Linked DNA regions of Callithrix jacchus. The protein of the gene in region 1 purifies or fractionates together with the protein of each later gene. This does not show direct contact. Links are inferred from orthologs where the notes say so. Each region holds a gene or a part of one and is shown in the gene's direction. Other genes may lie near its edges. The genes, in order: FKBP5, MCMBP, CDK4, NUDCD3, USP49, MAP3K7 and PTGES3.

Evidence for each region.
Region 2: the proteins of FKBP5 (region 1) and MCMBP purify together in Homo sapiens (affinity purification with mass spectrometry; 3 studies listed by BioGRID and IntAct, with this or other methods). This does not show direct contact. The link is inferred for Callithrix jacchus from reciprocal best matches to the Homo sapiens genes FKBP5 and MCMBP.
Region 3: the proteins of FKBP5 (region 1) and CDK4 purify together in Homo sapiens (affinity purification with mass spectrometry; 3 studies listed by BioGRID and IntAct, counting the BioPlex papers as one, with this or other methods). This does not show direct contact. The link is inferred for Callithrix jacchus from reciprocal best matches to the Homo sapiens genes FKBP5 and CDK4.
Region 4: the proteins of FKBP5 (region 1) and NUDCD3 purify together in Homo sapiens (affinity purification with mass spectrometry; 3 studies listed by BioGRID and IntAct, with this or other methods). This does not show direct contact. The link is inferred for Callithrix jacchus from reciprocal best matches to the Homo sapiens genes FKBP5 and NUDCD3.
Region 5: the proteins of FKBP5 (region 1) and USP49 purify together in Homo sapiens (affinity purification with western blotting; 4 studies listed by BioGRID and IntAct, with this or other methods). This does not show direct contact. The link is inferred for Callithrix jacchus from reciprocal best matches to the Homo sapiens genes FKBP5 and USP49.
Region 6: the proteins of FKBP5 (region 1) and MAP3K7 purify together in Homo sapiens (affinity purification with mass spectrometry; 4 studies listed by BioGRID and IntAct, with this or other methods). This does not show direct contact. The link is inferred for Callithrix jacchus from reciprocal best matches to the Homo sapiens genes FKBP5 and MAP3K7.
Region 7: the proteins of FKBP5 (region 1) and PTGES3 purify together in Homo sapiens (affinity purification with mass spectrometry; 4 studies listed by BioGRID and IntAct, with this or other methods). This does not show direct contact. The link is inferred for Callithrix jacchus from reciprocal best matches to the Homo sapiens genes FKBP5 and PTGES3.

Annotation. Positions count from the first base shown.
Region 1 is NC_133505.1:43,874,946-43,878,445, reverse strand, and holds part of FKBP5 (peptidyl-prolyl cis-trans isomerase FKBP5), read left to right. Parts: intron 1-225; coding exon 226-465; intron 466-1,501; coding exon 1,502-1,609; 3' UTR 1,610-3,500. UniProt on the Homo sapiens protein: Immunophilin protein with PPIase and co-chaperone activities. Component of unligated steroid receptors heterocomplexes through interaction with heat-shock protein 90 (HSP90).
Region 2 is NC_133513.1:112,985,467-112,988,966, forward strand, and holds part of MCMBP (mini-chromosome maintenance complex-binding protein), read left to right. Parts: intron 1-1,558; coding exon 1,559-1,647; intron 1,648-2,057; coding exon 2,058-2,184; 3' UTR 2,185-3,500. UniProt on the Homo sapiens protein: Associated component of the MCM complex that acts as a regulator of DNA replication.
Region 3 is NC_133510.1:61,953,418-61,957,523, forward strand, and holds the start of CDK4 (cyclin-dependent kinase 4), read left to right. Parts: upstream 1-1,306; 5' UTR 1,307-1,430; intron 1,431-1,837; 5' UTR 1,838-1,856; coding exon 1,857-2,071; intron 2,072-2,227; coding exon 2,228-2,363; intron 2,364-2,480; coding exon 2,481-2,648; intron 2,649-2,805; coding exon 2,806-2,915; intron 2,916-4,081; coding exon 4,082-4,106.
Region 4 is NC_133512.1:12,467,159-12,470,658, reverse strand, and holds part of NUDCD3 (nudC domain-containing protein 3), read left to right. Parts: intron 1-1,717; coding exon 1,718-1,828; 3' UTR 1,829-3,500.
Region 5 is NC_133505.1:50,309,474-50,312,973, reverse strand, and holds part of USP49 (ubiquitin carboxyl-terminal hydrolase 49), read left to right. Parts: intron 1-3,054; 5' UTR 3,055-3,082; coding exon 3,083-3,500. UniProt on the Homo sapiens protein: Deubiquitinase that plays a role in several cellular processes including transcriptional regulation, cell cycle progression or innate immunity.
Region 6 is NC_133505.1:96,667,375-96,671,504, reverse strand, and holds the start of MAP3K7 (mitogen-activated protein kinase kinase kinase 7), read left to right. Parts: upstream 1-1,330; 5' UTR 1,331-1,539; coding exon 1,540-1,659; intron 1,660-4,130. UniProt on the Homo sapiens protein: Serine/threonine kinase which acts as an essential component of the MAP kinase signal transduction pathway. Plays an important role in the cascades of cellular responses evoked by changes in the environment.
Region 7 is NC_133510.1:62,968,771-62,972,925, forward strand, and holds the start of PTGES3 (prostaglandin E synthase 3), read left to right. Parts: upstream 1-1,355; 5' UTR 1,356-1,650; coding exon of another isoform or gene 1,651-1,652; 5' UTR 1,653-2,381; coding exon 2,382-2,395; intron 2,396-4,155. UniProt on the Homo sapiens protein: Cytosolic prostaglandin synthase that catalyzes the oxidoreduction of prostaglandin endoperoxide H2 (PGH2) to prostaglandin E2 (PGE2).

The DNA of each region.
Region 1 (3,500 bases):
TGAACTTCTCAAGAGCCCCTCTCAAATCCCCTTGAGATCTTCCTAGAAATTGCATTACGTGCAGAAAATAATTTGGGTAGTAAATTTTGATCAGTAGTATATAATTATCTTGAGCACCATTTTTTAAATACACTATTTCCATCTCTTTTGGCAAGAGAGCTTTGGTAAACTGTTTACTGAATTTCAAAATTCATCCTTTCTGAAATATATGCTGTCTGTTCCTAGGCCCTTGGACTGGACAGTGCCAATGAGAAAGGCTTGTATAGAAGAGGTGAAGCCCAGCTGCTCATGAACGAGTTTGAGTCAGCCAAAGGTGACTTTGAGAAAGTGTTGGAAGTAAACCCCCAGAACAAGGCTGCAAGACTGCAGATCATCGTGTGCCAGAAAAAGGCCAAGGAGCACAACGAGCGGGACCGCAGGATATACGCCAACATGTTCAAGAAGTTTGCAGAGCAGGATGCCAAGGTGTGTGTAGAGCCCACTGACTGCAGGTGGATCAAGAGCCTGACTGTGCCCCTTTGATTTTAAGGGACAGGAACAGTTAACCCAAGAGGCTCAAGAGTAGGGAAAACGATTTCCAATCTCATCTGAGGCCGAGGCTGCTTTGGATCCAAAGGTTGAGTAGGGCAGTTCAGCAGTTCCACTCACCCAAGGCAGACGTTGTGAAAGGAGAGAGAACTAAATTCCCTTCAGCTGTATTAGATTGATTCAGAAGTAATTGCCATTACTTTCAATGGCAAAAACAGTTTTGCACCAACATTTTTCCCACCCAGACTGGAGTGCAGTGGTGCTATCATGGCTCACTGCAGCCTCAACTTCCCTGGTTCAAGTGATCCTCCCACCTCAGCCTCCTGAGTAGTTGGGACTACAAGCACACACCACCACACTCAGCTAATTTTTTTTTATTTTTTGTAAAGATAGGGTTTCACTTTGTTGCCCAGGCTGGCCTCAAACCCCTGGCTTCAAAGGATCCTCCTGCCTTGGTCTCCCAAAGTGCTGGGAACATAGATATGAGCCACCATGCCCAACCCTTTTGTCATTTTTGAAAAATTGTAAACCATCAGGATTTTTTTTTTCAGGTAATACTTCCTCATTAAGACTTCTGACTTTCTCAGGAAATGGGGTGTTACAGGAGCCCCACAATCATACCCATTATCTTGAGAGTCAGCAGCCAGCCTGGCAAATGTGACAGGAGAGGTCTGTCTAGAGAGACATATGTCCTACAGCATAGTTGGTACTCTGGTCTCATCTCAGTCTCCATGAATGCCCAGACTTCATTATCCCACAGCTGTCCTATGGGTCAGGCTGGTTATTTACACCAAAGAAAGGTGAAGCTCCCACTCTAACTACTGTAGCACAGCCCTGACCTATCCACCTAGATAACAGAGAGAAAATCACTGCAATACTCTAATGTTTGGGACCTGATAAACAGTCTGGAGGAGCCAGGAATTACTTCACTTCTTTTTCCTCTAACCTTCTTGATTGCTTATTTCTTCCTTAGGAAGAGGCCAATAAAGCAATGAGCAAGAAGACTTCAGAAGGGGTCACTAATGAAAAATTAACAGTCAGTCATGCAGTGGAAGAAGAGAAACCTGAAGGCCACGTATGACGCTACGCCAAGAAGGAAAGAGTCCTAATGAACTCGGCCCCCCTCCTCAATGGGCTTTCCCCCAACTCAGGACTGAACAGTGTTTAATGTCAAGTTTGTTATAGTCTATGTGATTCTGGAAGCAAATGGCAAAACAAAACCAGTAGCTTCCCAAAAACAGCCCCCTGCTGCTGCCCGGAGGGTTCACTGAAGGGTGGCATGGGACCACTCCAGGTGGAACAAAACAGAAATGACTGTGGTGTGGAGGGAGGGAGGCAGCAGCTTCAGTCCAGCTCATTTCAGTTTCTATCAGCCTTCAGTATCCAATTCAGGGTCCCTCAAGAACATCCTAACCACGTGGGGCTGTTAGTCTTTACCTTTGACCTTTCATAGCACTGCAGAAACCTTTAAAAAAAAAAAAACACTTCTTGAATTTCTCCTTTCCCACAGGTGGGTGGGGTAGGGGAAGGAGGATGAGGTTTTGTTTTTTAAATGACTGAAGTGCTGAAAATGCAGTCTGTTGCATTTTTAAACAACAGAACCCACAGTAGAGGGGTCTCGTGTCTCCCCAGTTCCACAGCAGTGTCACAGACGTGAAAGCCAGAACCTCAGAGGCCACTTGCTTGCTGACTTAGCCACCTCCCAAAGTCCCCCTCTTCAGCCAGCCTCCTACTGAGAGTGGGTTTCTACCGCACACAGCCTGTCCCTGGGGGAGTAATCCTGTCATTCCTAAAACACCCTTCACCATTGATAATGAGCAGACAGGAGTTTCTGGATTAGTTTTTCCTATTTTGGATGAAATTCTGAGATACTGAAATGTGAAAAGAGTAATCAGAATTGTGCTTTTTCTCCCTTTCTCTATTCCTTTTATGAAATAATACTCAATACACAGTACTTCCTGCCAGCACTGCTACTGTTTAGCTTCTTGTTTCATTCTAATCCTTGATATGAAGAATTTAAGGCTTGTTCTTACAGTATATTTGACCTGGAGTGGATCTATTTACATAACCATTTAGGATCCATGCAGCTTTTTTTGTCTTTTTAAAATTACTGGCTCATAAGCATATGTATCCTGGCTTATGGAACTTTATTTACACTCCTCTATCATTCATGCAAAAAAATTTTGACTTTTTAATACTAAGCTTAATTTTTAAACACAAAATCTGTAGACTTGACAAGTAAGTAGTTGCTTTTCTGCATTAGGGGTTTCACCTGCAGGTTTGACACAGCTGCTCGCTTTTCCTGCCCTAGCAAGCTTCTCTGTTCTGGCGAGAGTTGTGAAAGAGTTGAAGATAGCTTCATGCAGGTACAGCCAGTAGCCTAAATCTCCAGTACTTGAGCTAAGCATTGAACTAGGGCAAGTCTTAAAATAAATGTGTACATGTAGTTGAATTTTAGTCCTTACGGGTAAACAGACTGAGCATGGCTCTCTATTCCCTCAGCCTAAGAAACACGGGAATGCATTTGGCAACCCAGGGAACCATTCACTTAAACCTGGAACATCTCACTTTTTTAAATCCTAAAAAACACTGGCAGTTATATTTTAGTTTTATGGTGGTTTTATCAAAAGACTTGTATTTGACTAGGGCCCTCTTAAAACCTAAAAATCAAATTATTTCCCTTTTATAATAGTTTTCTTCTCCATGGAACCAGTTTGTTTTTTCCTTTAATAACTAAAATCCCTCTAATTTCTCATTTATGCTTTTGTCTTTTTTATGAAATATTTCCTTTAAAAGCCCCAGTCTCACCTAGGAAATAGGAAGAGCAAAAGTTGATTTTGCTTCCTTGCTGAACTGTTTGGAAAGCTCTGTAGAGTATGGTTCCAGTAAAGCCAAGATGGAAATTTGATACTAAAAAGGCTACCTGACTTTTTGCAGATAACAAGAAAGCTATTCCAAGACTCACATGATGC
Region 2 (3,500 bases), on another chromosome or scaffold:
CAGACATTTTATTTGATTGGTTGATGGGGTCTCATTCTGTCACCCAGGCTGGAGTAGTACAGTAGCATAGTCACAGTAAATTCCTGGGCTCAGGTGATCCTCTTGCCTCAGTAGCTGAGATTGCAGGTGTGCGCCACCATGCCTAACTAAAGTTTTGTTTTGTTTTTTTGTAGAGATGAGGTCTTGTTTTATTGCCCAGGCTGGTCAACTCCTGGCTTCAAGTAGTCCTCCCACCTTGGCTTCCCAGTGTGCTGGGATCATAGGCGTGAGCCACCACGCTAGCCACAACCAGACATTTTAAATAATATAATATGGCAACTCTGCTTTGGAAGTCAAGACTCTGGAAATTAAACCTACTTAGGATTTATTGTTGTTGCTATTTGTTATTGTTGGTAGGTTGTTTAGTAACTTTTTTGACTAATTTATAACGTTTGTATCTTTGTCACATGTGGGCACTGAAGTCTTTGCTGTTAGTTTTGTGGTTAATGATTGGAAAGAAATTTTCTTAAATGCCAAGAAATTTTCTTTCTCCCAGTTGGTCTCCCAGTCTAAGGGTGAATAATAATCATAAATAAAAGTAAAAGCTGGGTCAAGCCTTCAACACTTAGCCTTTTACAATTTACAAGCCTGCCTTAGTCTTCATTTCCTGCTTGCACAGAGCCTCCAGGTTATCCAGAGGTGGGAGTTGAAGGTCTCTGAGCATGTCTGCAGCCTTCTAAGTTCCTAGGAGTTACATATGTGAGGTTTTCAGAGCCCTCTGCAGACATCTCATTTCCCAACTAGCTTTTCCGTTTAAGGGTTTGGGTTAGCCTGTTTGCCACAACTGTTATCCAGTGTGTCACGTAGCTAAAGTGATTGACAATTTCTTCTGATTGTTTTTGATAAATGCCCTGGGGAAAGAGGTGGTTCATAGTAGACAGGCTTCCAGTCAGGTTACATGAAGAAAACCTTGTAAATGGTTATTCCAGGGAGCCACTAGACAGGTGGTCAGAAGACAGTTCTTTGGAAATGGCACTTTGAAAGAGCTCTAGCCCTGTTCTTTTTCCAGTGGCTGCCAGGCTGTTGGTTTTTGAAGCTTATTAACATCACCTGGAGGGGAAGACGGTAGAATATAGGAATAGGACATGTTAAAATGCCAACAAGCCTCAACATTCTTGCCGATAATCACCTGGTTTTCTTGCATAAATGCTCTCTGGATTGCTGCAAGTGTGGTTTTATTTCCAGAGTTTTAAAAAAGTTGATTTTGATCGATGTTCTTAAAGTAGAGACAGTTTTCTGCAGTCCTTTCTCTGCCATTTTCACTAGCATCACTTTTCCCTTTGTTGAAAAGCATTGTTTCCTATGCCAGTTGCCGATTTATATGTTTGCTTGACCTTAAATGAATCTTGAGTTTCATTATTTTTCACCAGCATTATTTATGTATATGCTTTGGTACATTCCCTATTGTCTCCTTTGTCTAAGGGGTTGACATCCTCATTTTCACATCAGTCAAGGAACCATGTTAATTTTCTCTTTCTTACAAAAATGCATGTCATTTACATTTACTCTTTTGATAAAGGCAGTTGAAGATGACTTTGTGGAAATGCGGAAGAACGACCCTCAGAGCATCACTGCTGATGATCTTCACCAGCTGCTCGTGGTGGCTCGGTAAGTGGTGCATGTCCATCATTGCTTTTTCGCTGAGCTTGTGTATATAAATCTTCTCAGTTATTCAGCAGTAACTGAGCCAGACTTCTGAAAACAAAAATGAACTTTTCCTTTTAAAAACGCTGTATGAAAGGGCTCATTGAGGGGCAATCAAGGTTGACTGGTGATCCCTTCAGTGGAACAGGCATGCTGCTTGTTCTCTAAGCTTCAAAGAGTGAGCCACCCTCCAATTCTGACTCTTCAAAGATTTCTTTGTAGAAGTCGAACTTGGCTATTGACTTGTGTGTAACTACCAGACGGTCTTGTCTCCCATACGTGGTTTGTATTTTACAAAGTATTCCTAGGTCTTCAAAAAATGTAAGACTTACTGTCCCAGTTCTAGACTTAAATTTGTTTGTATTTCAAACCAGGTGTCTATCTCTCAGTGCTGGTCAGACAACGCTGTCAAGAGAACGATGGCTGAGAGCAAAGCAGCTGGAGTCTTTAAGAAGAACGAGGCTTCAGCAGCAAAAATGTGTGAATGGAAATGAACTTTAAAAATCTGATACCTATGAAGAGCAATGGGCAAATTGTAGCCACATAATTGTAAAGTTCAGATATTCATTTATACCACATTGTTTTATAGGTAATTTCTATCACAAACCAATGACGTTTCCTTAAGCCTGGTTAACATCTGATGTTTATATGATACGCAGTAAGGACTTTTACCTTACTGATTTCATGGAGCTTTTGAAGTTTGTTTTATAATTATATAAATTAGTAATGATGTAAAAAAAAAGTATTTGATATTAAAAGTTTAATATTGATAATGTTCCTGATTATACCATTTCCTTAGCTTCAGTGGAGTCATAGGCCAGACTGTTGAAATGCTGAGATGAAGAAGGTTGTTGCAATTTCAAAGTCCGATGAGTTATGCGCTTCAGGTTTTTGTTTTCCAGTTAGCAGTGGGTTGGGTGCATTCAGTAGTCCCAACGCTGGGGATGGAGGCGTGCTTCCACTGATTCACATGACTACGTGAAATTCTGTACTGTCATTTCCCAGACGTTTGGCCACAGAAACTTTTTCCCACTTAACATTTGTTAAGAGCCTGCAAAATAGACTTTTATATGGCAGTGGTTCCCAGACTTTTGTATTTCATGGACCAGTAGTAATATTTCCAAAAATTTGGGGGACTGTAGGGTTGCCAATTTACGTTGCCAAGTAATCTGAATAAATCACTGTATTGTCACCTTTTTTTTTTTTTTCGTAAAAGGTCAATCTCAGAATAATAGTTCTTTAAATGGAATGAATGTAGCTTTTGGGGGCAAAATAAACCAAGATACACCATTTTCCTTATTTTCTTCTATCCCAGTGCATTTTAGAACCATGCATAAGGGAATGCTATGCCACAAAGTTTTGCCCAAATATGAAAACAAAATAGCAAACTTAAAAAACAGTACCCCCTTTAGAAAGTTTTTTTCCTAATGTCATTTAGTTGCTTTGATTGTATTTGGATTTTTAGCATTTTATATGAGTTTTTCAGTTGGTTCCACGTACATTAAATCAGCTAACATCTGCCGCTCCAGCAACAGCCTCATACAACTGCAGGTATGTTTTCTCCAGAACAGTTAGTTTTCATAGTGCAAACTAACAAACTATATAGTATCATGGTTATGACAACCAGAATTTCCAAAGGTTAGGATGTTACCTTTTAAGCTGTCAGTGGTATCAAGACTTAACTTCTTTTAGTGAGTAACTTACTTAGTTGGAGACGGACAAAGGATCGAGTAAATTTTTTTCCTGTAAGGCCTAACTTAAAATTGTAACCAAGGAAACAGGGTCAGCCTTGAAAAATTGAGGAATTCATTATACCT
Region 3 (4,106 bases), on another chromosome or scaffold:
CCCCTAAAGGGCTGGGAGATAAAGAACCTGGAGCCAATAAAACAAAAAAGGTAGGAGAAATCTACCTCTGTCAACCTAGGTGTCTGTGGGCAGAGGCCATTTGGGAAAAATGGTGCTAAGTGCTGGTTCTGGATGGTGCTAAGTGCTAAGAAAGCTGCACTAGGGAAAAAGGGAAGCACAGTGACTCCAAATGAACAGTCACAAGCTTGCAGAAAAGCACGTCATTCCCATTTACTGTGGTTGTCTGGAGGGTGCAGGGGGTGTGGTGGTAACTTCTTGCACATGCGCCTGTCTACGACATGTAATAAGTAATATAACATACATACATATATATATACCTAGAAGTATATATATACACACATATATCTTAATCTCACATAATCATAGAATCTTCCTACTGAAAAAACAAAAACAAAAAACATAAAGGTCAAGTATTCCTGTCTCCTGCTCATCAATAACTTCTCTGCCAGATGGCCTCAAGTCTTTGCATTAACACTTCCAGGAAGGTTTGGAAGTTGGGAACTAGAGGGCATTACTTTGCCACTGTTCCTGTTGTCTTACTGTATTAATCTGCCTTCTGTCCATCCCCTAATTGAAGTTTTGCCCTCCAGTGGGCATTGTCTACTACCTATTTTATAAGACCCCATTGTTGGCTACATCTTTATAGATAGTCGTACCACTACTTTAAAGAGCCAGTGACAGACACCAAAAACAAAACAAAATAAAAACCCACATACACACTGGCAACAAGCACTCAGTACAATTTTGTAGAATGAATGAGTGAAACAATGGCACAAATGAGAGTATGTTTTCTCACGGTGAAGCAAAAAGGTGATAGTACCACCTCTGGTCCCCCAACTCCCACCCTCTCCCCAATGTAGTCAGGCTGAAAGACCAGTGAAACAATCTTTCAGCCCGGAGTTGGGCTCTGGGTGGCCTGGGTTGCCATGGCACCGCCTTGGGCTCCACCCTCTCTTGCCCCCTACCGCGCCCCCCCACCCGCAGCGGGGTTGTGGCAGCTAGTCACGTGCCCTTCGCGTAACCACACCTCTGCTCCTCCGAGCAATGTCAAGCGGTCACGTGTGATAGCAACAGATCACATGGCTGTATCTCCCCTCCGCCCCTCTTACGCTCTTAGCTCTCCTCCCCGTCAAAGCGGCTCCTGGCCGCCCCCACAGCGCTTGGCTGGCGGTCACGTGCCCAGAACGTCCGGCGTTCGCCCCGCCCTCCCAGTTTCCGCGCGCCTCTTTGGCATCTGGTCACATGGTGAGGGTGGGGGTGAGGGGGCCTCTCTAGCCTGCGGCCTGTGTCTATGGTCGGGCCCTCTGCGTCCAGCTGCCCGGGACAGAGCCCGGGTGTATGGGGCCGCAGGAACCGGCTCCGGGGCCCCGATAACGGGCCGCCCCCGCAGCACCCCGGCCTGGCGTGAGGTAAGTGCAGCCCCATCCCAGCTTTCCACGCGTGCGTTTCGAGAGCTGGTTATGAAAGGGTCGTTCAAGGGCGGGAAATGGGGCCTTTGTGGTCGTGGGAAGGTATAATTTTAGGGACTGAGGTGTAAGATCTTCGATGCAAGGCGTGTGTCATGTGTGATCTTTGTACGGGGCGCGATTGTCCCAAAAGAAAAGGCATTTTTTATTGTAGGGCCTCACGTGGCTGCAGGGGTTGGTATTGAGTCATTGTGTTATCTCCGGGGCCGGCCCAAGGAAGATTGGGAGCGGGGGATGGGATGCTGGTGTTGTTCTTTGTGCTTTTTCTTGGGAGTCCCTTTGTTGCTGCAGGCTCATACCATCCTAACTCTGTAAGGGACTTTTAGTGATAGGAGTCTTTGTGATTGTAGGGTCTCCCTTGATCTGAGAATGGCTACCTCTCGATATGAGCCAGTGGCTGAAATTGGTGTCGGTGCCTATGGGACAGTGTACAAGGCCCGTGATCCCCACAGTGGCCACTTTGTGGCCCTCAAGAGTGTGAGAGTCCCCAATGGAGGAGCTGGAGGAGGCCTTCCCGTCAGCACAGTTCGTGAAGTGGCCTTACTGAGGCGACTGGAGGCTTTTGAGCATCCCAACGTTGTCCGGTGAGAAGGCGGTGGAGGGTTGGGAGTGGGCAGTAAAGGGAAAAGACAGTCTATAGGTGGGGTGTGGTGATCTGGTGAGAAGTGGGGACCCAGAGGAAATAATGAGAGGTCATGTGGGTTAAAGGGGATTGACAAGTGAGCATTTACTCTGGCCAGGCTGATGGATGTCTGTGCCACATCGCGAACTGACCGAGAGATCAAGGTAACCCTGGTGTTTGAGCATGTAGACCAAGATCTAAGGACATATCTGGACAAGGCACCCCCACCAGGCTTGCCTGCAGAGACCATCAAGGTGAGTGGGGTTGGTAGGCATTGAGAGGTGAATTGGGACCTTTGTAGTAGAACCTCCTGGGATTTCAGGGATGGTGCCTAGTTTCCAGTGCATCTGTTCCTCCCCCTTCTGAACTAGGATCTGATGCGCCAGTTTCTAAGAGGCCTAGATTTTCTTCATGCCAATTGCATCGTTCACCGAGATCTGAAGCCAGAGAACATTCTGGTGACAAGTGGTGGAACAGTCAAGCTGGCTGACTTTGGCCTGGCCAGAATCTACAGCTACCAGATGGCACTTACACCTGTGGTCAGTAGAAAGATGGTACCAATATGGGTTCTGGTTGGGAGTAGGAGAGTGGTGGCCCATAACAATTGAGAAGTCATGTGCTTCATGTGTTCAGTTAAGTCAGTTGTATTTCATGGTAACGCATGGGATCCCCATCCATTTTTCCTATCCCCTTTAGGTGGTTACACTCTGGTACCGAGCTCCCGAAGTTCTTCTGCAGTCCACATATGCAACACCTGTGGACATGTGGAGTGTTGGCTGTATCTTTGCTGAGATGTTTCGTCGAAAGTATGGGACCCACATACCCTGGACCACCTTGAATTCCCCAAATCTCTTGTTCATAAACCACATCCAAACCTCCCTTCCATTCTTCTTCTTTTTTTTTTTTTTTTTTGTTGGAGACAGGGTCTTCTCTGTTGTCCAGGCTAGATTGCAATGACATGATCACAGTTCACTGAAGCTTCAACCTCCTGGGCTCAAGTGATCCTCCCATCTCAGCCTCCCGAGTAGCTCACACTATAGGCGCACACCTCCATGCCTGGCTATTTTTTAATATTTTTGTAGAGATGGGGTCTCAGTATATTGCCCAGGCTGGTCTTGAACTCTTACACTCAAGCAGTCCTCCCAACTCTACCTCTCAAAGTGCTGGAATTACAAGCATGACCTACTGCACCTGGCCCCATTCGTTTACTTGAGTTCTACTGACTACCTTGGCCATAACGGGAAGCACTAAAATGTTCTGGAATTGGGAACTTCATATCCCTTTATTCTCCTTTATTTATTTATTTATTTGAGACAAGGTCTCACTCTATCACCCAGGCTGGAGTGCAGTGGCACAATTACAGCTCACTGTACCCTCTACCTCTTGGGCTCAAGCAGTCCTCCTGTCTCAGCCTCCTGAGTAGCTGGGACTACTACAGGCGCACGCCACCATGAATGGCTTTTTTTTTTTTTTTTCAAGACAGAGTGTGGCTCTGTTGCTAGGCTGGAGTGCAGTGGTGCGATCTTGGCTCACGGCAACCTCTACCTCCCGGGTTCAAGCAATTCTTCTGCCTCAGCCTCCCGAGGAGCTGGGACTACAGGTGTACACCACCGTGCCAAGCTAATTTTTATATTTTTAGTAGAGACGGGGTTTCACCATGTAGGCCAGGATGGTCTCCATCTCTTGGCCTCATGATCTGCCCACCTCTGCCTCCCAAAGTGCTGGGATTACAGGCGTGAGCCACCGCACCTGACATTTTTTTTTTTTTTTTTTTTTAAGAGACAAGGTCTTGCTTGTCCAGGCTTATCTAGAACTCCTGGGCTCAAAGAGTTGTCTCACCTTAGCATCCCAAAGTGCTGGAATTACTGGTCTTTATTTGCTATACTTTTTATTTTGGGCTACTAAGTAGTAACAGCCATTCGACTATGATACTTTAAAAATGACAGCTACCTTATGTCTCTTCTTACCTTAGGCCTCTCTTCTGTGGAAACTCTGAA
Region 4 (3,500 bases), on another chromosome or scaffold:
GACACACAGGAATGCCTGCAGTCCACTTTTGTCTCAGGAAAGGTCTGAGTGCTGATCTTGACACCCTGTGCTCCTTCTGTTGTAAGATCAAGTCTACTAATCTGCCCTTTGCACTCTGGGCATCCTACATCGGGCCCCCATTCAGCCACCCAGTTCCCAGGGTACGAGTGTGGTGGCTGCAGGGTTCTACAGCTGTCATTTGCCCTACAGCTGGCCAGGATTCTTTTGAAAGGTTCAGAGGCTTTGTGCAGCTGCCTGCTGAAGTCATCCGTTCTTGTGTTTGGTTGAGGCTGTCCAGCCTCATACCTCCAGTGGGCAGAGGAGGGGGCTTCATGTAGTCTTCTCTGTACCCCTAGCCACTCCATGTGTGCTGCAGGACCTTGTTCTCAAAATGGTCTTTCTAAAGTCTCTGATGTGAATTGCCCACAAGAAATTGATAGTAATGTCAATTAATCTGTAGTATATAGTACACATCTTTGATATGCTTGTTGCTGCATCACTTCGATTTTAAAAAAAGAAAAAGAAGCCAAGTATGGTGGACTGCACCCGTAGTCTTAAGTACTCAGGAGGCTGAGGTGGGAGAATCGCTTAAGCCAAGGAGTTTGAGGCTGCACTGAGCTGTGACCACACCACTGCACTCTAGCCTAGGAAACAGTGAGACCCCATCTCTAAAAATTAAAACAGCAAAGAGAAAACTCTCTTGTCAGGAAGACTGTGTTTTATGTAAGGAGAAGCCCTGGCGTTGAGAGCCCCACAGCCTCATCTTCTGGGCCTAGGCTACAGGGTTTTCTGCAACAGGGACCATGGATCATATTGGTAGAGTAACTACTGGCCCTGCACAGTCTCTTTTGTCCCTGGTCAGAATGTCAGAAGGAAGGAGAGATCATCCCCAGCCCTCAGTATACTCATGGTGGCCACATGAGGAGGGCAGATACGGAGTCCCTATGAGGAGAGAGGGCCTGCTAGCTCAGGTACCGATGCTTCCCTCAGGATCCAATATTCCTAATGTCCCTTGCCATGGCCACACACTCAGGCTTGCTTCTGACCCTCGGAGGCTTGATAGTTCCAGAATAGCCAGATGTTGGCAACAGCTTAGTTAACCAACTCTGACTGCATCTGCAAGGATGCAGTGGGGAATTCCTGACTGGGGGGGTCTACCACTGGACATTCCGAAGTCTCTTCCTCCATGCCACATCCTGGGTCAACCCTGGATTGTCTGATGATCTAGTTCTTGATGTTGATAACTGGGGTGCTAGGGTATCCTCTCTGCACACCTTCATCAGATGGGGCTTGAACATTTTACGCACCTTCTCTATGACCCCAGTGGGGCTGGGACACTTCCTCTTCATGTCATAGTCAGTGCCTAGTGGGACCATAGACGTTGCAGGCTGTTTGGAATTTGTTGATTCCAAACAGATTGAAAAGGGACAAGATGAACCATGAAGAGCAGCCAGAGCTTTGCTGGGGACAGAAGATGGGGGGTTAGAAACTCAGTCTGTGGAGCACAGTCTTGCAGAGAAGTTGTTAGTCACACAGTGCCTCCCTTGGTCGAAGGCTGCTCCAGGGCAGTACGGTTCTCTGGCCAGTCAGTTTTGCCAGGTGAGTGCCTGAGCCCTGAGGAAGCAGGAAGGCTCTTTGCCTGCAGTCAGAGTCTGCTCTGGGAGAAAGTGCACAGTGCCTTGTGATCTTGTTTAATCTCTTTATTTTCTGTTTGTAGAAAGTCCATGAGATGCTGAAGAAGGGGTGGGATGCTGAAGGTTCTCCCTTCCGAGGCCAGCGATTTGACCCTGCCATGTTCAACATCTCCCCAGGGGCTGTGCAGTTTTAATGACCAGAAGGAAAGGAAACCCTCACCGGTGGGGAGGCAGAGGCCTTGTCCTCAGCCGCCCTCCTCGGCTCCCCCTGTGTTCTAGGGACTTGTTCGTCTTGTTTACCCCTAGCCATCCTTTCAATGGTGAACCAGGCCTTCCACCCTGACCTTGCATCTCCAGACTGTTCCAGAGAAGGTGCAGTGACAGCTGCTGTGTGGTGGCCGCTGTGGCTGACACTGAGTGAAGGTGTTTGAAATGCAAGAGAGGATATCCCAACAAATTGGGATCATGTGCTTCTGTCTCCACAGCAACCAGCCACTGCAGGCAGCATGTCTTTCCCCTGCTCTCTGCTTGCTGTTGTTTTGACGCTGTTCTGCTTGCATGTGTTCTGGTTGGGGTGTAGAGTTGTTGCTGGGCTCTCAGGCGAAGCTGAAGTCATTGAAGTGTGTGAAGCTCAGTGCTTGCATGAGGGCAAGCAAGGAATGACTGTGCAACTGTGCCTGGGGCTGCTTTGGGAAGCTCCTTGCCCCTTGACCTCTTTCGGGAGCACTGATGTGGTCTTCTTGCTTATCCCCTTATAAATGTGCTCTGCCTGCCTCAGCGTCATGGTCAGAGCAGTGGAAGCTGGAGCCCTGTTTGCACATTCTAGATGTTGGGAGACAGCCTAGGTTCTGGGCTCAGGTCCACATGCAATGGGGATTCTGTCTGTTCTCTGTGGCGACCATGCTTTGGTTCTTGTTGAAGTGAACCAAGCCTGGCCACCACGGCATGGCATGCCCTGCTTGGCTCCCTGTAAGATGTCCTCTTTGGGTTCACGGTGTCAAAGCGTGGGCAGGAGTGGAGAGCTAGCGCCCTCAGGAGGAGACTACAGCATGTTCATCAGCTCATCAGCAGAGCACGCCAGCCACAAGTCCTGACAAGCCTTGACCTTGAGGGGCTTCTGGGAGAAGAGGAATTTCTGCATGGGGCATGAAGGCATACTGTCCCACCACAACTGAACCAGAAGACAGTGAAGGCCCCCATCCTCTGTGCCAGGTGCCAGACTGCGCTCCCTGGAGCTTATGGCCCCATCTTACCTGTTCTCCAGGGACTGGCCACCACCTCCAAGGTGGTCGACCTCCAAGGACCTCCAAGCCCAGGCCCATGGCTGCTGACTGACTCCAGCCAAGATGCAAAGACAAGATCATGGGACAGGGCCCCAGGCCTATGCCCTGAGTACTCACAGGGGCTCTGGGTGCCTGTCACTGGGAGTATGGTTCAGCTGCCACTGGCACTGTCCATTTGCCTGTCCATCAAGCTCGGGGCATGGATAAGCCACACAGCAGGGCAGTGCACCCTGGCACCATGCACAGCCAGCAAGAATCAAGGCCCGCAGATGCTAAGAGAGCCTACCATCAGGGGAAGGACCCTGCCCCTGCATGCTCTCTCTGTGTATACTTGGGTTGCGGGGGCTGTCTAGGAGAGTAAGTTGGTGGTTGGTTTCTGATTTACAGTGGTGGCTGACAGCCCTTGTGAGAAAGCATTCCTGGAAAGTCTTCTGTAGGTCCAGACTGTTGCTCTGATCATCATGGGAGAACAGAAGACCCCATGTACCCGCTTTGGAATGTGAGAGCCTTGTCTGATATTTGCCACTGAACTGGTGAAGCCCTGCTTAAGAGCTCTTGACCCTGGGGAGCAGAACTCTTGTCA
Region 5 (3,500 bases), about 6.4 Mb from region 1:
TAGCAATAAGAAAATCATGATCTGGCTTGAGAGTAGTGTAGATCGCATCCCTTTGTATGATTTGAGGATTTCTTATATAAAGACATGCCTCTGCCATCTGGAACAGGCAATAAAAAAGGGAAGATTCTCTAATTCTGTCCTGCAGTATATTTATTTATTTATGGGTTTTGGCATACATAAATAGGACTAGGCCAAACAAGGCATCTGGAAAATTAAAGGGGCTACTCAGAGTACACTGGATTTAGAACTTTTCTGGGTTGACCTCTTAATCATGAAACTGCATTTGCTCTCAGAAATCAAAAGTAGAGAATAAATGGAGGTGAAAGAAATTTACTTTGAAAGAGGATTGAGAATTCACTTTAGGGAATTTAATTATTTATTTATTTATTATTATTATTTTTGAGACGGAGTTTTGCTCTTGTCACCCAGGCTGTAGTGCAGTGGCGCAGTCTCGGCTCACTGCAACCTCCGCCTCCCAGGTTCAAGCGATTCTCCTGCCTCAGCCTCCCGAGTAGCTGGGATTACACGCATGTGCCACCATGCCTGGCTAATTTTTTGTATTTTTAGAAGAGATGGTGTTTCTCCATGTTGGTCAGTCTGGTCTTGAACTCCCAACCTCAGGTGATCTGCCCTCCTTGGCCTCCCAAAGTACTGGGGTTACAGGCATAAGCCACCGCGCCCAGCCTTATTTATTTATTTCTTTATTTTTATTTTTGAGACAGAGTCTCACGCTGTCCCTGAGGCTGGAGTGCAATGGTGCGATCTCAGTTTACTGCACTCTCTGCCTCCTGGGTTCTAGCGATTTTCCTGCCTCAGCCTCCCAAGTAGCTGGGACTACTGGTGCCTGCTACCATGTCCGGCTAATTTTTGTTTATTTTTATTTTTTTAGTAGAGACGGGGTTTCACCATGTTGGTCAGGCTGGTCTCAAACTCCTGACCTCAGATGATTCACCCACCTTGGACTCCCAAAGTCCTGGGATTACAGGTGTGAGCCACCATGCCTAGTCTTTTTTTTTTTTTTTTTTTTTACTTTTAAGAGATGAGGCCAGGTGTGGTGGCTCACACCTGTAATCCTAACACTTTGGGAGGCCAAGGCAGGAGAATCACTTGTACCCCTAAGTTCCAGACCAGCCTGTGCAACATAGACCCCATTTTTTTTTTTTTTTTTTTTTGAGACAGAGTCTTGCTCTTGTCGCCCAGGCTAGAGTGCAGTGGCACGATCTTGGCTCACTGTACCCTCCACCTCCCGATTTCAAGCAATTTTCCTCCCTCAGCCTCCCGAGTAGCTGGAATTACAGGTGCCTGCCACCACACCTAGCTAATTTTTGCATTTTTTAGTAGAGATGCGGTTTTGCCATGTTGGCCAGGCTGGTCTGGAACTCCTGACCTCATGATCTGCCTGCATTGGCCTCTCAAAGTGCTAGGATTACAGGCGTGAGCCACTGCGCCCAGCCTCATAGACCCTATCTCTACAAAAAATAAAATTAGCTGGGCATGGTGGCATGCACCTATGGTCTCAGCTACTCTAGAGGCTGAGGTAGGAGGATAACTTGAGCCCAGGAGGTGGAGGCTGCAGTGAGAGAAGATCACACCACTGCACTCCAGCCTGGGTGACAGAGTGAGACCCTGTCTCACAATATGTAAATATATAAGTAAATAGATAGATAGAAAGAGGTCTGTGTTGGCCAGGCTGGTCTTGAACTCCTGGCCTCAAGCTCCCACCTTAGCCTCCCAAAGTGTGCAAGCCACTGTGCCTAGCCTAGGGAATTTAAAGTTCTGGTATTGAGGGGAAAACGCCTTCAAAGTTTCAAAGACATAAAAGTTTTCTTTTAAAATAGTTGTATAGCTTCTTTCCCTTGGAGAAATTGCCCACAAGGCTTCTCTGATGAACAATACTGAAGAAGCATTGTTGGGAATAGAAAAAAATAAACATGATTAGGATGTTACCACTGTTTTAAAAAGCATTTTCATACATATATATATATCTGGAAGATTCGTTGTTTTTTTTTTGTTGTTGTTGTTGTTATTTCGGTGGTTTGGTTAACTATTATAATACCAGTAGCCACTTTATCTCTTGTCCTAAGTCAGATTTGTCCAATTCTTTACTTACCTATCCTTTCAGTAAAGAAGGTAAGTTTTCCTACCCTTACTGCAAGATGCAGATGTTCTTTTCAAAAAGACAGATGTTGGCTGGGTGCAGTGGCTCATGCCTGTAATCCCAGCACTTTGGGAGCCTGAGGCGGGAGGATCACTTGAGGCTAGCTCAAGACCAGCTTGGGCAACACAGACCTGTCTCTAAAAAACAGGCCAAGCCTGGTGGCTCATGCCTGTAATCTCAGCACTTTGGGAGGCTGAGGTGGGTGGGTGGATCATTTGAGGTCAGGAGTTTGAGACCAGCCTGGCCAACATGGTTAAACCTCGTCCCTACTAAAAATACAAAAAAATTAGCCAGGCGTGGTGACACGCACCTGTAATATCAGTTTCCTGGGAGGCTGAGGCAGGAAAATCGCTTGAAGCCGGGAAGCAGAGGTTGCAATGAGGTGAAATTCCGCCACTGCACTCCAACCTGGGCAATAAGAGTGAGACTCCCTCTCAAAACAAAATAAAAAAACCCACATAGACAATGTTCCTTAGCAACGTCTCATAAAAATGATACTTTGTACTGTTGAGGACTTTCGTATTTTTACCTTATATCCTGATACCTCTGCTTTGCATTATATTGCATCCAACCTAATATTGACTTTTTATTTGAGGCTCTTCGTCTCTCTCACTGGAATGTGAAACACCATAAAGTTTCAAATTTGTGCTAACCCTTCCGTATGATACTTCTTTTTAAGTAATTTAACTGTCCTGTAATTCTCCGCCTTTATACCAAATGTGCCTTTTTTTTTTTTTTTAACTTTCAAAGGAACCAATTTGGAATTGAAAATGAATGAATCTAGAGTTGAAATACCAATTGCAAGCCTTTTTGTCTTTTTTTTTTTTTTTTTTTTAAGGAAAATGTTTTTTCTGAAAGTGTTTTCTTTTTCTTTTTTGGGGACTCTGTCATGCCAGGTTGAGAGAGTGGCGACTTCTGTAAGACATGGATAGATGCAAACATGTAGGGCGGTTACGGCTCGCCCAGGACCACTCCATCCTGAACCCTCAGAAGTGGTGCTGCTTAGAGTGTGCCACCACCGAGTCCGTGTGGGCCTGCCTCAAGTGCTCGCACGTGGCCTGTGGCCGCTACATTGAGGACCACGCCCTAAAACACTTTGAGGAGACTGGACACCCGCTAGCCATGGAAGTCTGGGATCTCTATGTGTTCTGTTACCTGTGCAAGGACTACGTGCTCAATGATAACCCGGAGGGGGACCTGAAGCTGCTGAGAAGCTCCCTCCTGGCGGTCCGGGGCCAGAAGCAGGACCTGCCGGTGAGACGCGGGCGGACGCTGCGGTCCACGGCTTCGGGCGAGGACGTGGTCCCGCCGCAGCGCGCTCCTCAGGGACAGCCGCAGATGC
Region 6 (4,130 bases), about 53 Mb from region 1:
GATCATACAAAGAGAGTATGTACAGTGAAAATAAATTATTCTTTCTTTTTTTATCCATTTATCAAACTGTCATTGCGTGTCACTAGAACTATGATAAAAAAAAAGTGACACAATGTTTCCCAGGAGTTGGTAACTTCTTGATGGTCAAATCCAATGACCTATTTGCAATCCCAATTGTGTTTAACATAATTCTTTTTTATACAGCATATACTTGGTTGGCTACTTCTTCATTGGAGAGCTTTCCTCTGGTGACATTCCAATTACTATTTTCCTCACTTCCCTCTTTCAGTCTCTTACTGAAACTTAGAATTTGACATTAGCGTGAATCCATCCTTGGTCTTTACATTTTCATTTCTAACTCCAATTTTCCACGGTTAGGCTTTATGTCAAACGGACTAAATAGAGTTCAACAGTTAGTTTAAAACTAAAACTTGTGCTGATAGTACAATATAGGCAATGCTGCCCATTTTGGGGACAAGATTGATCTAGTTTCAGAGGACCATAATTGCTTTAAAGTCTGAGCCTATTTTCTCAAGTCCTGAAAATGGAGATGTAAAAATTTGATTTTCAAGACGACTGTTGATGATTCATTTACCAATCTAAAGCAACAGTGCCCTGCACTCGTAATCCATAACTTGAGATGAATACGCCAAATTATGTCTCTTAATCATCTCCTCCATATAAAGTTGTAACACCAAAATATTAACTTCTGTTCATGAGCACTCAACCTCCACAGTTATTCATGTTGCATAAGCTGATTCGCTCTTTTAGAATCTCTCATAGTGTCAGGGACGAGCTCAAAGTAACAGGTGCAACTGCTTCGTTCCATATCCCACACTGAGGAAAATACATTTCGTAAGCTGTCTTAAAGAAACAGGTCAACTTAGTTTAGGGCTGAAACTTAAAGGTAAGCTTCGTCACAAAAACACATTTCAATACCATCTTGCCTGTCTGCAGGCAGCTAAAAGGAGACGCAGTGAGGCCAAAACATATTTCACGCAGCAGAGACGAAACCCCATCTTTCATCTTTCCCGCTGGTCCTTAAAGGACCAACCGTACTGATTTTCCGTCACGTTCCGCGCCACTTCCGCTCGCGCACTTTAATTACGTTAGGCATCAGCTCTCGCGTTATCATCCGGTTGCTGAGGCCCTGTAATAAAGGTCTCGCGAAATTTGTTCTAGAGGTCCAAGCTTGCTTCTTAGCTTACTCTACCCCACCCCCAACGTGTCCCTCCTTTACTTTCCAAGTCAAAAAAATTTCCCCTCCCATCTCCTCCCCCAGAGTTTACGGCCCGCTTCCTGTTTCCGATTTCAGCCCGGAACCGGAAGTATAGTGGGCGGGGCCCGGCAGCGGAAAACGCAGCGGAGCCAGAGCCGGGACACGGCTGTGGCCGCTGCCCCTACACCCGCCACGGACCGACGGGTGGTAGGAGTGCGCGGCTCCAGGCTGAAGGTCGGTCCGGAGGCGGGTGGGCGCGGGTCTCACCCGGACTGTCCGGGCGGCACCGTTCCCGGGCCACCCGGGCGCCGCGAGGGATCATGTCTACAGCCTCAGCCGCCTCCTCCTCCTCCTCGTCTTCGGCCGGTGAGATGATCGAAGCCCCTTCTCAGGTCCTCAACTTTGAAGAGATAGACTACAAGGAAATCGAGGTGGAAGAGGTGAGCGAGGCCCGGCATGTAGACGCCGGTCCCGGCCCGCCCCGACCCCTCCTCTGCCTGTGCCCCAGAGGTCCTGGCTTTGAAGGTGTCTCCCCGACCCCTCTAATTCGCTGGACCCTAGTGGGTCCACCCGGGAGACCCCACATCCCTCAGTGACGCGGGAGTAGGAGTTACTCTCTGAGCTCAACTGTTCGGGAGTAGCTTTTTTTCCCTCACTTGGGCACTCTTGATTTTGGATTTGATATCCCGGTGATAAACAGGAGAATGAACTGGTGAGATATTGTGGTCCACCAGTTCTCGTATCTGTAAGTAGTAGTTTCAGCGAAGATCGTAGCCGTTCTGGAGTTTCAGTTCGCTGGCCGTAATGTTCTGAATGGTCAAAGATTGTATGATGTTCGACTTCTACCTCAATGCCTGGCATGTAGGGGATGCTCAATAAATGCTTCTTAAATTAATAGATCGTCAAGTCTAATAAAGTGTTTCCCTTGGCACCGAATGGTTCTCAATTTCTCCGATTTAAATGCTCGGCTTCCAGTTGGGTTAATGTAGGTAAATTTCACCATAAGTAACATAGACTGGTCTACGATCAAAATATGTTTCAAGTAGCATACTCTGAAGAGAACGAATGATTACAGTGACAATCAGAATATTAACATTAGACTAGAAATCGCTATCAGAAAACCCATATCCTCTTTATTCTGCAGTAATTTATTTTAGAACCTGTTATTTCAATGTGACTTTAAAGCATTGCTTCTTTTCAAATTAACAGAGAGGTAATTGGGTTCTAATGACTATCAAATTTAGAAAAGTAAAAACTGCGTATATATATTTTAAAGACACTCTAGAATTTGTTAAAAACTTCGGTTTAAAATATCAGCTCTTACCTTTTATTTGCCTTTTTAAAAAATTTTTAAGCACTTTGCGTTTTATATACCATGAAAAACCTAGTGAAATATTATAGATTGTCAACAAGTTGTGTCTACTTTAAAATTATAAAATTATTTTTAAGTATCAGCAAGTTCAAAGTAGTAAGATAACGTTCAACAAATAAATTTTTTTTCCTGTGCATGTTTTGGAAGAGTAGTGGATTACTGGATTATATGTATTTTTATCACATAAAGTAACTTTAAAGATTCATTGAGAACATCCTTATTTTACAAGATAATATGATGGGAAGAGCAAGGTGTTTGGAGTTAGAGGAAAGTTCAGTGTATCAGATACGCCATTTATTAGCTGTGTGATTTGGGGCAAGTTTCCCAACCCCTTTAAATTTTAGTTTACTGTAAGAAAGAGATAATAAATTCTGTTTGATTTTATCTGCATAACACATCATAGTCTTAGACATTATATGCAAAACACCTACCACAGGGCCTGACACATATTAGGAAACCTAGTTCCAGAGAGGAAATGTGACCTGCTTTAAGGTCAAATAGCTAAAAGAAGACCTGAAAAAAGGGAGAAATGTTTTTAGTGTATTTTTTTTTGCGTTAAGGCTATGATAAATTCCTTTTCCAGAAGTGGATAGTTGATCCAGCTTTCATGGCTAATATTCTTTTTTAAGAATAAAAATTCAGTGAGTCAGTATACAAGAATTGCAGTTTTTAAATAAGTGTTTGCGTCTGCTCTGTGGTGAATTGCTTGCTGTGCTTGTAGACTACAAATTGTTATATAATAATAACTTGTGCTTTATGGTCTACTAAATGCTTTCACAAACATTTCATTTGGTTCTTAAAACCTTAGTTTCTGTTTGCTACTTTTTAAGGCTTTTTGCATTCTTGATTCACGGAAAAACAAGTTCTAAGGAGGTAGTTATCATTTTGATGCTTTTCCCTAAAGCTGTTTCACTTCTTGTTAGGTTTGTGTGTTTCCAAGACCCTTCTCTCAGTTTAAATAATGTTTCAACCTTTGTGTGTATGTGGGGGTGTGTGTGTATGTAGGACATTTCTAAGGAGTAGGTTTTTGTTTATAGATGAAAATTTTTTTCTAATGGTAGTCAGTTATTTGGGTTTTTTGTTTTATTCCTTTTCATTTTTAATACTCTGTTCATTTTTGCATAGAAGGTTGAATTTAGACATTTCTGATATTGAAAGCATTACATAATTTCCATCATCTTCATTTGCACATATTAAAGCAATGTTATACAATCCAGGGTGAACCATGGACCCTTATTAGCTCTTTGTCAACTTAGATTACACTTCCAGTAAAATTGTGAGTAAAATAACAGAGGAAGATAGTCAGAAACAAAAACTATTTTATGTTGCTTTCAGTATTTTATGTTGTATAAGAATATTACCTTCTAAATTAAGAAAATCATATTTTGTATTTCTCAATATAATTGAATTGTATTATATCAATATAACTAGAAAGTTAAAAAAAAAACTCAATCACAGGCTGAATATGCAGTCCTTTAATTGATACATATTTCTAAGACATCAGCTGATCTTGCATTTCTAATATTGTAACTCAGTAGT
Region 7 (4,155 bases), on another chromosome or scaffold:
TCACCTTGTTGACCAGGCTGGTCTCGATCTCTTGACCTCGTGATCCACCCGCCTCGGCCTCCCAAAGTGCTGGGATCACAGGCGTGATCCACCGCGCCCAGCTTCGTTTTGAGACAGGCTTTCACTCTGTCGCCCAGGTTGGAGTACAATGGCATGATCTGTGCTCACTGCAGCCTCCGCCTCCCGGGTTCGAGCTATCCTCCCACCTCATACTCCCTAGTTTTTGGCATTACAAGCGCATGCCACCATGCCTGGCTAATTAGTATTTTTGTAGAGATGGGGTTTCACTATGTTGGTCAGGCTGGTCTCGAACTCGTGACCTAGGGAACCACCCTCCTTGGCTTCGCAAAGTGCTGGGATTATAGGCGTGAGCCACTGCACCAGCCCAATTTCCCTCTTTAACGGTATCTGAGCTAGGATCCACGTTTCGTAGCTCCCCAATAATCTGCCTTGTACAGCAGACACTAAGCACCTTAATGCTTATTATGAAACCTCATTCTTCAGAAATATAGCACTTTCCTTAAACCTCCTTCCTGTTCAAAATGCAGTGCACTGGAGTATTTCTCCCCTACTCCACCATTAAGTAGCCTCTTGGTGAGCAGGGCTGTGTTGGGTCTCTCGGTTACTATGCCCTACTACACCCTAGTAGTGTGTTGTAGGAAGCGACGGGGAATCCCTTCTTCCCCAAATAATGTGCATGGAGACACAAAGTGTCTTAGCCTCTCCATTCCAGAAACCTAGACTCTCCCCTCAAATATCCTTCGTGGCTCATCTACAGTACTAAGGTCTCAAGACAGGGGCAAAAGCCAGCCCCGAATGGCAAACGCTCCTCCTCCGCCAAGAACCTCGAATGTCCGCTGTCCCTGGACAGAGCCTCCAACCTTCAGAAAAATGGTGAAGTGAGCCCTTTTCCACAGCACAGGCTTTTCACGTTTTTGTGGTGGAATGTTTCCTGCGTGAGCTGATTTACTCCCTCAAGAGTAACCAACGCTCCATTTCAATTCTCCACGATCCCGACTCCGCGTCCCTCCGCCTCGGCCTTTCCTCCCGCTGCCAACGCAGCGGTTTCTCAGAGAAATCGCCCAAAGAGCGTGGCCGGGCGGTTGGGCGGCCAACGGTTTTCTAACGCGAGAGGACACCGCGGGAGGAGAGGCGGGAACGCGTAAGGACTAGCGGGGGCCGGGGTGGGGGTAGGGTGGCGGACGAAGGGCGGGGCCGGCGCCAGGAAGGATCGCGAAGGAGCTGGGAGGCCCCGCCCTTTCCGTAGATATCTCTAGAAAGCCGCGCCGGAGCCCGAAAACAAGGACTGCGCACGCGCGGTGGCAAGGCCCGGGCATTTTGCTGCGTCACCAGCCGCCGCCCGGCCTCACCACCCCTCGTTCGCACGCACGCACGTTCATTCTCCGTCCTCGCGCCCGTTTTCCTACACTTTCCTCTTCTCCCCGACCGGAGGAGCCGCTCTTTCCGCGCGGTGCATTCTGGGGAGCTAGGTCGAGCCCGCCGCTGTCGCCGTCGCCTGAGGGAAGCGAGAAGAGGCCGCGACCGGGGAGAAAACGCGGAGTCGCCAGCGGAGAGAAGTCGACTCCTTAGCAGCAGCCGCCGCCAGAGAGGCCCGCCCACCCGTTCGCCCGTCCCCCTGCCCCGTTCACAATGTGAGTGCGACACCCCGCCGAGGGAAGGTCGCCCGGAGTGAGGCCAAGGCCGCGTCGGGGGCTCCGGGAATGCGGCCGCGGCCCTCCCTCCACTTTCGGCCCCCCCAGTCTTTCTCGCATCGGTGGTGGCAGTTGTGCCTGCCTGGGGGCGGGAGATCTAGTATCCTTGTTCCGGTTACCGTTGGCGAGTGGAGGACATTTTCCTCCAGATCTCCGCTTCCCCGTGCCGGAAATGCTACTTTTCCCCCTTTGGCCGTCTGGCCGACTCGCTTTCTGTAACTTCACCCTAGGCCTTGAGCTCCTGGTAGCTGCTCGCCATGCGGCGCCCTGAAGCGTGAACCCCCGCGGGTCGCTTCTCGGCCGCCTGGGCGCTCCAGTTCTGCTCCGTGGTCCCGGGGCCAGGCCCTGGGCCGAGCGCACCTGTAGTGGGTGTCGCCAGGTACCTGGCGGAGCTCCTGGGAGAGCCCCACGCGGACCTCGCCGTGAGCTGCATGGTACTGCTAGGTAACTGGAGGGAAGCCATGCCCACGCCGCAACTTACTTCCCTCTCCTGTGTCTGGGTTTCTTGAGTGTGGGTACTTCTAGGCCGCCTCCTAACTCCCAGTCTGTTCAAAACACGGGAGGTTGCCGGAGCTCAGCCGCTTCCCTGGCAGTGAGGAGTTACCGTTGAGCAGGTAGTTGGGCACGTGTCGACTTTGGAAGAATACCTACGGACATTTTCAGTGTTCCATGTTAAACTTTAGGTGAGGTTTCACTATCCTGCCTCAGTGTAGGATGAAGTAGATATGTAATTAACTTACTGTTGTCCTAAAAAGCTTAAATTTGATGGTGTGTAGGTGAATACAAGTTCTATAGCAATCTTCGTTTTATGGTAAAGGAAAGCCTTAATTGATTTTAACCGAATAAGAATTCATGGCACTGCCACATCCAGTGAGGGCTCCTGGTTTTACAGGGTTTGGTTTTGTTTTTTTTTTTTGACGGGACGTTATTTTTTAAGTTATTAGCTAAGTCTTAAAAGATACTGAGAACAATTGAAGGGGAGCGTTCCCCCGCCCACACTCCATTTAGGAGAGATGAGGGGAGTAACTTTATTCCTGCGGAAAAGTAACAAACATTCAAGGGTTTACTTAATTCAAGCCATGATACTGACAGTGAATATATTGGCTAAAAGTCTAAAGGGATGAGTGAGGGGTACACTGAAGCCAGTTTGTCGCTGAGAACAAGCTTCTAGAGCACAGCGTGTATTACTGTAAGGGCGTAAATTAGAATTTTGGAGGAGCCCCCTCCCTGAAAGTGGTACGTAAACGGGGTTTTTACAAATTCGAATCTATGTAAAGTAGTTTTTGCTTTTCCTTCTAGGTAATGTAAAAGGGACTTCAGTCTTAACCTTTTATACTCTGAAAACCTGTAAGGGGAAAATTGTCAGATGAGGTGTTAGCAACTTTTAATACAGCTGAACGTATCTTTTCGCGAAAAATACGTTTAAAATTGGCTTGAGGTAGGAGCACTTTCTGGAGGCCACGTAAGATATTTAAATAGGTAAGAAATGGCTAAGTTAAGTAGATTTTAAAACTTGAAAGAAAAGTCAATGTAAGTCAGGGTGCAGTGGCTCACACCTGTCCTGCACTTTGGGAGGGTCAGGCGGTGGGATCAGGAGTTCGAGACCAGCCTCGTCAATACTGTGAAACCCCGTCTCTACTAAAAATACAAAAACTAGTCGGGCATGGTGGTGCTCACCTGTAATCCCGGCTGGTCTGGCGGCTCAGGCAGGAGAATCGCCTTAACTCTGGAGGTGGAGGTTGCAGTGAGCCAAGATTATTGAGCCATTGCACTCCATCCTGGACGATAGAGGGAGACTCCGTCTCAAAATGTAGCAGTAGAGAGGCTATTCCAAAAAGTAGCCTCTCTGGTTAAAAAAAAAAAAAAAAAGCTACTTTCAAAACAAGTGATCCGATGCCACATGCAGGGTGTTGAGGGAAAAGATGAATGTTTTGAAAGAGACCAGCTAATTTCATCCTTTTAAAAATATTCAGTATGTGTCATTTGGTATATTCTTCAGGGACTCTTACCAAGTTAAAGATTTAAGTGAAATTACAAAATGAATGTTGTAAGTCGGTTGTTTGAGGTGGAAGAATCCTTTACTGGGTCGTCATCCAGTCCTAGGAAGAATCTGGCTGATGCGGGTTTATTTATTTATTTATTTATTTTGAGTCAGGGTCTTTCTCTATCGCCCAGCCTAGAGTGCAGTGGCGTGATCTCAGCTCACAGCAACCTCCACTTCACCTCCCGAGCTCAAGCAATCCTCCTTGCCTCAGTCTCCTGAGTAGCTAGGACTGCAGGCAAGCACCACCATGCCTGGCTAATAAAACCTTTTTTTTTTCTTTAAAGATCTGGAGAGAGATTATGCTGGGTGCATTAAGGGCTTGGGAGAGTGTTTTCTCAGTTGATTTACTCATTTGCTCTTTAGCGATTTCCTAGTTACATTTCTTTACATCCTAAGTTA